Regions from separate parts of the Mus musculus genome. Here region 2 is reported to be linked to region 1. Evidence: microRNA targets listed by miRTarBase, many of them from high-throughput screens and not tested one by one. Region 1 holds a microRNA gene; the other region holds the end of a gene's coding sequence.

Region 1 (5,384 bases):
TGCTTTGTCCTTAAAAATAACTAATGACGAGGTGATTACTGTAAGAACGGAGGAAACTACTAGACAAGTCTATTCCATGCCTATAGTATTCAGTAAAACCAACTGGGACTACCCAGAGGGATTTTTTTTTGATTATCAAAAGTTCCTTGCACCAATTTCCAATAAATGATCAAAACCCGGGGACAATAAATGAGACTTATACAAGGTAGCAGGAAGTTTCACCAAGACTTTGGAGCTGGCAAGAGTGATCCAGATGTTACCAAATTGTCTCAGTTTATTTAATCCCACTTTTCATCTACTTTCTGAGGTAAGAGTCTCCTCCTCCCCACTATCCACCACACCCTGCTTTCCAACAGTACACCCTTTGCCTCACCAGCAGATCCTGGAAATCACAGAGACTTTCTTCCTTCGCAGGTACCCCAGAGCGGCCCCCACCCTCGTTGACTCCGAAGGGCTGCAGCAGCAATTCATGTTTTGGAGTATTGCCAAGGTTCAAAACATGAAGCGCTGCAACACCCCTTCGTGGGGAATGTAGAAGGTGGGGACCTGCTGAACAGACCTGTGTGGGTTCTACTAAAAGCCCTAAAGCAGGTAGGTGGGAGGGCAGGGGCTTAGTCTAGTGAGGGTCACTCTACACAGTCCAAGGGCCTGGGTGGGTGTGAATAGCAAGGTGGCAATTCACTTGAAGAAGGGACAAGGCATCCTGTACTCAGCCCATCCCACTCAGTCGTGCCCTAGCAGCGGGAACAGTACTGCAGTGAGTGTTTGGTGCCCTGGAGTATTGTTTCCACTGCCTGGGTAAGTCTGGGTCTTCCACATGGGCACACCCACCAGGTAAGTTTCGGTTAGCCTGCAGCATAGGCCCCATGGGAGGGAGACTCTAGAACAGCTCCCAACTAGAGTTGCTGATCTGTGACTCTGACTGGGTGTGACTGAAAGTGTGTTGTTAGCGCCTCACTTGCTGCTCAGGTAAAAGTGAATCAACTGGGAAAAAAAAAAAGCACTTCCTGGTCATCAAGTAGTATACCACCCACAAGAGCGAAACAAGAAAATTTGTCCTAAGTCCTCAACAACAAAATGGAGAAGGGGTCCTTCCAAAAGGAATAAGAAGGGTTCTGAAGGGCAGGAAGGATGACTTGAGAAAGTCCCCATTTCTCTTTGCAGTTTAGGAAAGATTAAGGGGTCCGTGGGAGTGTCCCTGGATCTCTTCGTGTCTTGCTGGTGCGGACCCCCAGGTGGTACAATGAGAGGCAATGGCCCAACAGGAAGCCTCAGTGAGGCTCTGCATTTCTAGTCCCCATTTATCCCCCTTTCCCAAAGTCATCACACAATTCTACATGGCAGTGGGGACATGGGGACACCCTTGTCACTGCCTAGAAGTCTCTGAGAAAATGGCTGCTTTGTGACATCCCAAACTCTGCTGTGATTAATCATGGCACCTCCGTTTCCCTGAGGAGCCCTTTGAGCCTGGAGTGAAAAAAAAAAACAGGTCAAGAGGCGCCTGGGAACTGGAGAAGAGTGTTAAACTTCTGGAGCAAGACTGTACTTTTCCTGTGAAAATCACTTTCCATAATCTGGAGTATAGGCATGTAAAGGACTGTTGGAAAACGGAGTGTGGGTGAAATCGTGCTGCTTTGTCTTATTAAAAAGAAATAAAATACATGTACACACACCCTTCTGGTCTGTATGAACTGCTTGTCATCTTCCCCAGGGACTGGGTGCAGGCCCCCATAAAAGGTACAGTTAGAGGAGGCCTTGTGAGCCTGGGAGTCTAGCTCTAGCCACCAAATGCCTTTCTCCCAGACTCCTTTGCGTTTGAACAAGGTGTGGGAGGTGGTTTGGGTCCCGTTGGGCCCCCAAGGACCCCCTGGCTCCCAGGAGCACTGAAACCCCTTGGAACTTAAGCCACGCCTTGCCCCCATCTCCTTGGCTTCTTGAAGCCACGCCCCCCAGCTCCTGCCTCACCCCTCCCCTTGGCAGGGCCCCTCTGGCCCGGAATCCCCAAGACAAATGGCTAACAGGTTCAGGCGCCCCGCGTTCCTATGCGCAGGGTTGGAGGAGGGGCACTTTGAGACTTCCTATTCTCCCTCACCAACTTCCCTTCTCCATCTCCACTGTTCAACAGGGCTTTGCCTTATGCCAGAGGAAGAGCGCCGGGGCTCACTGAAGGCCCCCACTCACCCAGAAGAATCTGGCCTGCGCCATCTGGCTGCTTCCAGTGGGTGCCTGCAAGATTCAAGTGAGATTCAGGTGGGTTGGGGACTTTAGAGCAGAGGAGCAAATGATCCAGGTTTAAGGCCACTGACTAAGAATCTAAGATGCCATTAGCCCAAGGTGCCCAAGGGCGCCAAAATTGAGCTCATCCACATAGCACCTGGCTGCGTGGTGCCCTTTTTTGATTTGAAATGCTCTTCGCACCTTTATTTGCCTAGTCGAAGTTATGATGTGCTTCGATTTTCTTCCAAGGGCAAAATGTGAATAAAGCAATATTTTAGCCAAACACTTCTATGTCAATTAAGAAGATGGCAATTCGTTCCAGATTATAAATTCCCTTTAACAACTCCCTAAGGTATTCTTTTAAATTGTTTTTCAAACATTGCTAAATGTGCATGATAATGTGTGGGAGACTTGTATAAAGTGATTCAATTTATGGTCGGCTGATTAATTGATCCTCCATTACCACATTCAAAGAGGCACCTCTCCATTGTTTTCTCCGTTTTTTTTCCCCCAACACATGTTATTTGTTAGTGAGGAAGCTGTGTGCACGTGGCATTGTAAAAGGTTACTAGACAGACATGGCTCTTAAAACTATGAAAAGCTTAGCCTGGCTCTAAATCTAAACTCTGACATTTCTGTAAGTTGTAGGACAAGATATTCAGGTTATTGTGATACACTAGAATTGAACATAATTTTGTAACAATTTTAATAACAGGAATACTTCTGAAGGCATCTTCTGCTAGCCATATTGGTTTGGTTTGGTTTGGTTTTCCAACAAGGGAACACTACATCAACAATCTTGGGGATGTGGACACAGAAGACTCCTGTTCCAAGAAAGTACAATCATCTTTCAAAAACTGTAATTTATATGCGTTTTACCACACTAGATATTGAAAACCACCCAACTAGGGGGGTACAGTATATAACCAGTCACTAGTGTAATATTGTATACCTTTTTAAAATGTTATTGGAAAGTGTTTTATGATCTGTAAGTCAAATAATCCGGCCCCACCGTTTTCATTTTTCCTGCTATTCCCCCAAATCTAGGCTCCTTTGTTCCAGTTGGCATGTAAACTTGTTTTTTCCACCAAATGAGTCAGTCCTGATAGAAGCGTCAATTGATTTGAACAGATGTGTGTCAATGTTACTTGGAAAAACTAGATGCCAATAACCAGGGCCACAGAAAAAGTCAGCAAATGTAATTGTGTAAAGCATTTATGCATGCACGCAGACAAGGAGAAAAGTTGAATCCTAAACAGGAAAACATTTGGATACACTCCAGTGCTGGGAGACCAAATAATTCTGTGTTGCTTTTGATGTCCAGTAACATGGGCAACTGTCCAATTAAACAAACACCCAAGAAGGACTCTGCAATGCCCATTATTTTACTGATTATTCTAAAGCACCATACCTGTCAATCCATTGAGGAGGAGGGAACAGCAAGGGAAACATGATGAATCTACACGACATAAATTAATTAATAGGCAGATTTCCTGAGAGACGGTGCAGATTAAAAAAAAAATACAAATAGGTTCAAAAAGTATGCTTCAGGAAGATCAATGAATATATATTGATAGAGATCAAAAGACTTGAGCTGTGGGCATTACCAAGTTAACATTAATTTCTAGAGATCTATTTTCCCGTTGTCCAGAAGCATTTCTCATGATGCCAGAAACTTATACGTTCATCTTTATGTAGAGTTATTGTATGCCTCTTAAAACGAAACACAGTATGTATACACCAATCATAGCAAATCTGTATCTCCGAGGCCCAGTTCAGCCTGCCTTATGCCCATCCATTGAGCTAGGATCTCCTGGCTCTGTCCTAATATTTCACTCATCTGTTTCCTGCACTGGGTCCACAATTGATATCCTCCTCAAGTTTAAAGGGGCTTAGAGCCTTGTGGGAGGAGCCTCTAACGATTTCCATTTCCTGTGGTCCCTCAGCCTTGGAGCACTCCCCTTTACTCTTGAGCTCTGTCTTCGGAGCAAGTGGTGAAAATTGAAAAGCGTGCCCCCCTCCCGCCCCCTCCGCCGCACTCCCCCCCTCCCGCTCCCCTCCCCAGCTCCAAGTCGGGGGCATTGTTGGGGGCTGGGAATACTGCTTGCTTTGCAGCCTGACTCCTTCCTTCGGGTCTTTTGCTACCCCTCCCCCACCTCCACTCTGCAGAGTGAAGGCAGAATGTTTGTGCCCTAGAAACCAAATCTTTACAATCCTCATCTCAGCACTTGCCTTCATTTCCTCTGTTCACTTACGGCCCCAACTGCTTTCATAGATTTGTTGTTTACAACTTTGAGAGATAAGTAAGGCAGACAAAGTTTCGAGAGACCTGAGGATTCTGAAGATGAAACCTGGGAAACTGCATCATGCAGACTTCATGCTGTGCCAGGTAACATTCCTGCCTGGCCATCAGAAGCTTACACCATAGTGATTAGGACAGAAAATGGAGCTGAACTAGTGTGTTTGGTTAGAAAAGGTCTAGTTGAAACTGTCTAGTCCTAAGAAGGACGAGTGAGAGTCTAACTGCTGGACACTTCCTAACTGAGGCTCAAGATTGACTTCATGATTAAGTAATGACTGTAAGTCACCTACCCATGCATGATTCAATGTGTACAAGCTTAAAAATTGTAAAGTGAATTCACTTTAAAGCTTTGATCCTTTCTATAGACTCAAGTAAATTAAGGGAGCAAATATGAACTAACCATAGAGATTAATTTAGTGGCATCCTCAAAAGAACGTTTTTAGTCATTGTGAATAATCATAAAAACTACCTAGAAACTTAGAAACATTCTTAAGATAACAAGCTTTTAAAAATCAAGGCCACAGAATTACACTAACTCTGGTGGCTGAAAGTAGAGTAGAAACTGGAAAGAAACTGCAAAACAAAGAGACTTTTTAAAAACAGAATTTGTAGTAGGTTGGTTAGCTGCTTATTTGTTTTGTTTTTTTTTCCCCATCTTCACAGTTTTGCTGTTTCTTTGTTTTGTTGTGCTTTGATTTGTGTCCCATTGTGAAATGCTACTCGCTAAAAGGTCTTTAAGGGTACTGGGAGATCCAGAAATTTGAGGTTACACATGCAGGGATCTCAGACGTCTCGGGGATCATCATGTCACGAGATACCACTGTGCCCTTGTGACAGATTGATAACTGAAAGGTCTGGGAGCCAC
Region 2 (5,384 bases), not on the chromosome of region 1:
ATTCAGAATTATGAAACGCTATTTTAAAAGCATGGAAATTTTAACTTCAAATTCTTACAAAATGTAAGACTGTGGCCTCTTAAAAATATGCCTTGTTAAATGTGTCGTGTTCTGGTGCACACATTGATAGGTATATCTCCACTGGCTTCTCAGATACTGAACTTCTCTGGAGATGAATAATGTGGAAATTTTAAGTGCATTTCATGGTTTTTTTTTAATTCCTGACCATAACTACCTTGATCAATGTCTTCTGTAGCATGTCTCTCTGTCTCTACAAGCTGACATGGAAGCGGCTGTGCTTCAGCACAGATCTTCTCAGTTCACTGAAAGATGAATCCCAAAGTAGCTCGTACAGCAGACCTCTGCCAACCCAGTGTTCTTCCAATTCATAGCAATGGGACTGGCCACTATGAGATTATGATTGGGCAGATGGGGAGGAGGGGTGGGGAAGGAACAGCCGTCTCCAGGAGGCTTGTTCTCTCTGCAGTCGGGAACATTGCACTATCAATGAGAGGGACTGGACAGTAGTAACCTCCCGTTTGTGCTTCCTTTTTCAAACCACTTTGTCAATATACTCAGGACATAATGGAATCCAATTGTGGGACCAAGAGCTTAGATTTTTTCCCCAAAGGAACCAGAGCCAGTCTTCATCCATGGGTATTTTTCTTCTCTCTTAAGTCACCTGTTTGCAAACAAAATGATACAATATTAGAACAAAATGCCTGTAGGACATAAGTCAGTTCCCTCCCACTCTTGGAAATACCTTCAATGCACACTTGTTTTAATAGTCACCTATGTGGTAATGGTATAGGGTTTCCTTTAAATAAAATGTTTATAATTTTTAAGTTAGATGTTATTTTATGTGTATGAGTGTTTGCCTGAGTATGTCTAGGTACCATGTGCATTCAGTGCCTGTGGAGGCCACAAGAGGATGTCAGATCCCCTGTGACTGAAGTTACCTACTGAGCTGCCATGTCGGTACTGTGAATTATATACAGGGCCTCTGGGAAAGCAGGCGATGATCTTAACAGTTGAGCCACCTCTCCAGCCCCATGATGTTTGTATTCTTAAAGTAGTAAGAATAAAAGTCATTTCATATAGATTTTGGTCACTATTTTTTTTTTCCATTTTTTATTAGGTATTTAGCTCCTTTACATTTCCAATGCTATACCAAAAGTACCCCATACCCACCCACCCCCACTCCCCTACCCACCCACTCCCCCTTTTTGGCCCTGGCGTTCCCCTGTACTGGGGCATATAAAGTTTGCGTGTCCAATGGGCCTCTCTTTTCAGTGATGGCCGACTAGGCCATCTTTTGATACATATGCAGCTAGAGTCAAGAGCTCCGGGGTACTGGTTAGTTCATAATGTTGGTCACTATTGAGAGTGTTGGATTCCCTTTTGTTTCTGCTCCTCTTAGGAAAGTAACACCCATTAAATGGGTGTCTTTAAACTTCAATACAGGCAGATAGGTTTTATCAACTGGCCTATTAGAGGAAGTTTAGATAAAAACCATTCTTTAAATATACACCAACAAGAAACATGTTTCTGAAGTTATACATGGGCACTGAGTATCTGAAACATAGCTTGTGTGACTCAGAAGCTAACCAATTTTAGACTATAAGGCTCATATTTTTCCAATAAGTATATTTTTGTTTTGATAGGATACTTCACTGAGATGTGCTAGCAGGAATTACAACATAAAAACAGCATCTGAATCAAAACCTGGGTTTTGGGGCCTTAAATCTAAAAGGCTAAGTGCAGAGGGGTAACTATTCAAAATGTTATGTCACCTGCATACTGAAAGGTATTGTTGTAGCCCCTGTCAGATAAACATTATTAGGATAAATTTCTTGTGTTCCCTTTTCTGCAGCTTTCTTAGAATGATATATGTGCCCCATTTTCTTTTCACAGTTATACTTAGAAGTTTGAGAAAGGGCTGGAGAGATGGCTTAGCGGGTAAGAGCACTGACTGCTCTTCCAAAGGTCCTAAGTTCAAATCCCAGCAACCACATGGTGGCTCACACCATCGGTAATGAGATTTGATGCCATCTTCTGGTGTGTCTGAATGTACTACAATGTACTTACATATAATAATAAATAAATCTTTTTAAAAAAAGATGAAATTTGAGAAAGACCCTACATGAGACAAATCAGAACCTTGTCATAAATTATAATTCTGTCTCATGAAGCTACTTCAGGACACTGTTAGCCATGGCTATCTCTGGGAAGCCTTACAGTAGGATGAGGCAGAGCAACATTCATCTTTCAAAAGGAACTCTAAAACTTTCAAAGGTGTATAGATCACACATCTGCTGATTGTTTCAATACTTTAAGAACTACCAGCCCCTTGCAGTCCCTCACACAGTGTCCTGACACTCATGGCCAGACATGTAAATCACCTCAGCTGAAATATACAGATGCTGAGGCCCTGCCTTACGTGTCAGCCAAGACCTGGTGAGATGGGAGAAGACAAGCATGGAAATGCTGGCAGAAGCTGCCGTAGCAAAAGAACTAAGGATAGCGAGCGAGCAGTGGTGACTGGCTGAGATACACGTGTAAGCAGCAAGAGAAGCCACAGGAGACATAGCAGGAGCAAGAACAATAAAGAGGGAGGTGATACATGAATATCTACTATGGAAGAGACTCTAGGAAGACAACCCGAGCCTCTGAATATCAACACACTAATGAGAAACACTGAGGTCTGTATACTCCTCTATGTTTCTTAAGAAAATAAATGCCAGTCTTTTTTATAAAGTACAGTATAATATACACATATGTGAGCAAAACAGTTGAAATCAGGGCCTCTGCACACAACAGCAATAAAGGGAAACACGGGGGGAAGGCAATGCTCAACCACATGCCGGAGAGAGTGTGATGTTAGCCTGTGTGTGAGCTTGAGGGGCACGGTGCAGGGAAAGGTGTTTTCCGAATGCACCTCTAGGTCCTAAAGTAACAGGTAACAATCCTTTTAGGAGTAATGCTTTGTTTGAATACTTCATATTTTATTGCACCAAGTTTTAGAAATCCATGTGCACTTGCATATACATTAAAAATCCACTTAGATTTGGAGTCAGAGACAGGAATCCACACTTAACAAGTGCCTAAGGCTAGTTCATAGACTCCTACATAGTCAAGGACCACGGTACACACCCTCTCATCCTAAGATGACCCTGTATACATCCCTGCTAAAATTTATTTTAAAAATGAAGCTTTCCCCCCAAGCCCCATGAGACAAGATCTGTCTGTAGTCTTTGCTGTCCTGGAGATGACTATGTAGACCATGCTGGACTGAACTCAGGGATGCTTCCTCTGTCTCTAAATGCCTGAGATTAAAGGTGTGTGCCACCACACCCAGGGTAAAAAAAAAAAAAAGCTGTCTTGTCTATATCCCCTCTAGAAAGAGTGCTCCCTCTCTCTTTGGGGTTTGCTTGTCTGTTTTTGTTTTGAGATGGAGTTTGGATACATAATAAACGCTGTCCTCAAAGTCCTCAATCCTTTAACTATGTAACTAACTTATGACATATGCCATAATCACTATTCTTTTAATGTAGTGTAATTTGTGCTAATAACCTTTAATGTCACAACTCACAAAGACCAAGGCAGATGAGAAGGGAGGCAAAGACTAGCCTGATCTATATATCTAGTGGCCAGACCAGCTAAAGCTACAAGATGAGATCCCATTTGGTGGGGAGGGGGGTACCCTGCAGGGGTGCGCAAGCAAGCAGCAGATTGCAAGAATTACAATGCATGTGTGTAAACAATTATACTGTACACAGGATTCAAGTTGTTTATAACTTATTTATCAATGTAGCTATAATGTTTATTATAGACAATGAAGAATGGCTGAATAGTTTTCAATATTTAGAAAGCTATATAACCAGACAACTTAGTAATTTTCTAGACTGAGAAAACTCCCTTATGGGCAGCTAAGAAAGGATCAAAATTCAGTAAGCCTAACTTAAGTAATTCAGTTAAAAAGGCTTTTCTGGTCAAGTTAAAAATAAGACTATATCTCTTTACTTGGAATATAACTACACTGTAGATATTTTTAACGAGCAAGATAGAAAAAACACACAGCTAGAAGTCTTTTAAAGGTGCTTTCCAGAGTTGGAGAAATGGCTTAATGATTCAGTGCTCTTGAAACCCTGCAAGAAGACCTGAAAAAGATACCTAGACTATATGTCAGAGGGCTCACAACTGCCTGTAACTGTATCTCTAAGGACCCAATGGGCTTTTCTGGTCTCTCAGGGTACTGAATATATACTACCCACCAACACACACACACACACACACACACACACACACTGAAAAAGAGAAATAAAATACTTTGCCAGCCATACTATGTAATGCATACCATGATGGCAAGAAAATCACAAGGAGTTCCAGACTAGCCTGGATACAGAAGCCCTAACTTAAAAGGCAAATAGAGGAGAGAAAACAACTGCAACAGTAATACACTAGAAATACACATGATTAGTTGCAAGGGGGACTGTTGTATAAAGGGGCAAGATTTAAAAAACAGACACTGAACTGAATATTTTTGAGTTAAAAATTGGAATTCACACATCTATTATCCATGCTCTACAATGAAGCCATACACGACGCACATGGTACAGACTCCACAACAAATGCTGGAGCTCACCAGCGAAGTCAAAGCCGTTAAAGCCGGCTGCTAAAGGCTAAGTAAGGCTCATGTACCTGCTAGTTCTCCCAGTCTGTGCACGGCAAAGCCTCTTCCTCATCCTCTGACTCTGGGGACGCTTCTTTGATTCTTCTTAGAGCTTCGTGGATACTCCGTGTCAAAGGGTCGGTATCAGGCAGAAGTGTGAAGGATTCTCTCAAAACTTCCTTCTGAACCTTCTTCAACTTTACCCCTTTCCTTATCTGCGCCAAAATATTATTACTATCATCTTCATCAGGAAAAGGAGGCAGAGTCCGCTGTTCAACCTTTTTCAGATGAAAGCTACCACGCTTCAAGGATGCTAACACTTCATCCATGGGTGAACTCACTTTGGAAAACAAAATAAAACAATCAGTAAGAATTATTGCTCTTAAAAGTCAATCTGTGTGACCTCCAATGCACGGTGACTAGGACAGGTCTTGACATGTGAGACCTCTTTGTACCCACAAACCAATCCAAAGTAAGACAATGATTGATTACATATTTCTTTCTCTTATTGTTTTTTAAATTTAATATTGGAAGATGCCTCAGTGGGTAAGGTCCTTGCTGTCCCCAAGTTCAGAAACCCCAGAATCCATATAAAAGCTGGACAGAGTTGTGCACACAGTGCTATAACCCCAGCTCCTGGGAGATGCAAGGACATGGCAGAGGCTGATAGGCTGGGGCAGGGTTATTGGCTAGGCAGTCAATCTGAAACGGT

Evidence for each region. The annotated mature microRNA mmu-miR-351-5p reads UCCCUGAGGAGCCCUUUGAGCCUG and lies in region 1 at 1,447-1,470, shown strand. An mRNA with a match to its seed (bases 2 to 7 or 8) in the 3' UTR can be bound and repressed. Matches are read on the target gene's strand: a 7mer-m8 pairs with bases 2 to 8, a 7mer-A1 pairs with bases 2 to 7 and ends in A, and an 8mer does both.
Region 2: miRTarBase lists Jmy as a target of mmu-miR-351-5p. The part of its 3' UTR that is shown has no 7-base or 8-base seed match.

The regions. Positions count from the first base shown.
Region 1 is chrX:53,049,401-53,054,784 of GRCm38, reverse strand. It overlaps Mir351 (microRNA 351), which reads left to right and starts at 1,432; the gene lies at 1,432-1,530. C430049B03Rik (RIKEN cDNA C430049B03 gene) reads left to right here. Exons shown (of 4, transcript NR_038185.1): 4 at 1-1,673. It overlaps Mir503 (microRNA 503), which reads left to right and starts at 731; the gene lies at 731-801. It overlaps Mir322 (microRNA 322), which reads left to right and starts at 436; the gene lies at 436-530. It also overlaps Mir542.
Region 2 is chr13:93,434,738-93,440,121 of GRCm38, forward strand. Jmy (junction-mediating and regulatory protein) reads right to left here. Exons shown (of 11, transcript NM_021310.3): 10 at 4,702-5,012; 11 at 1-682. The coding sequence ends at 4,705. Among named protein-coding and RNA genes, the nearest start is that of Gm6109, 11 kb to the right of the region's middle.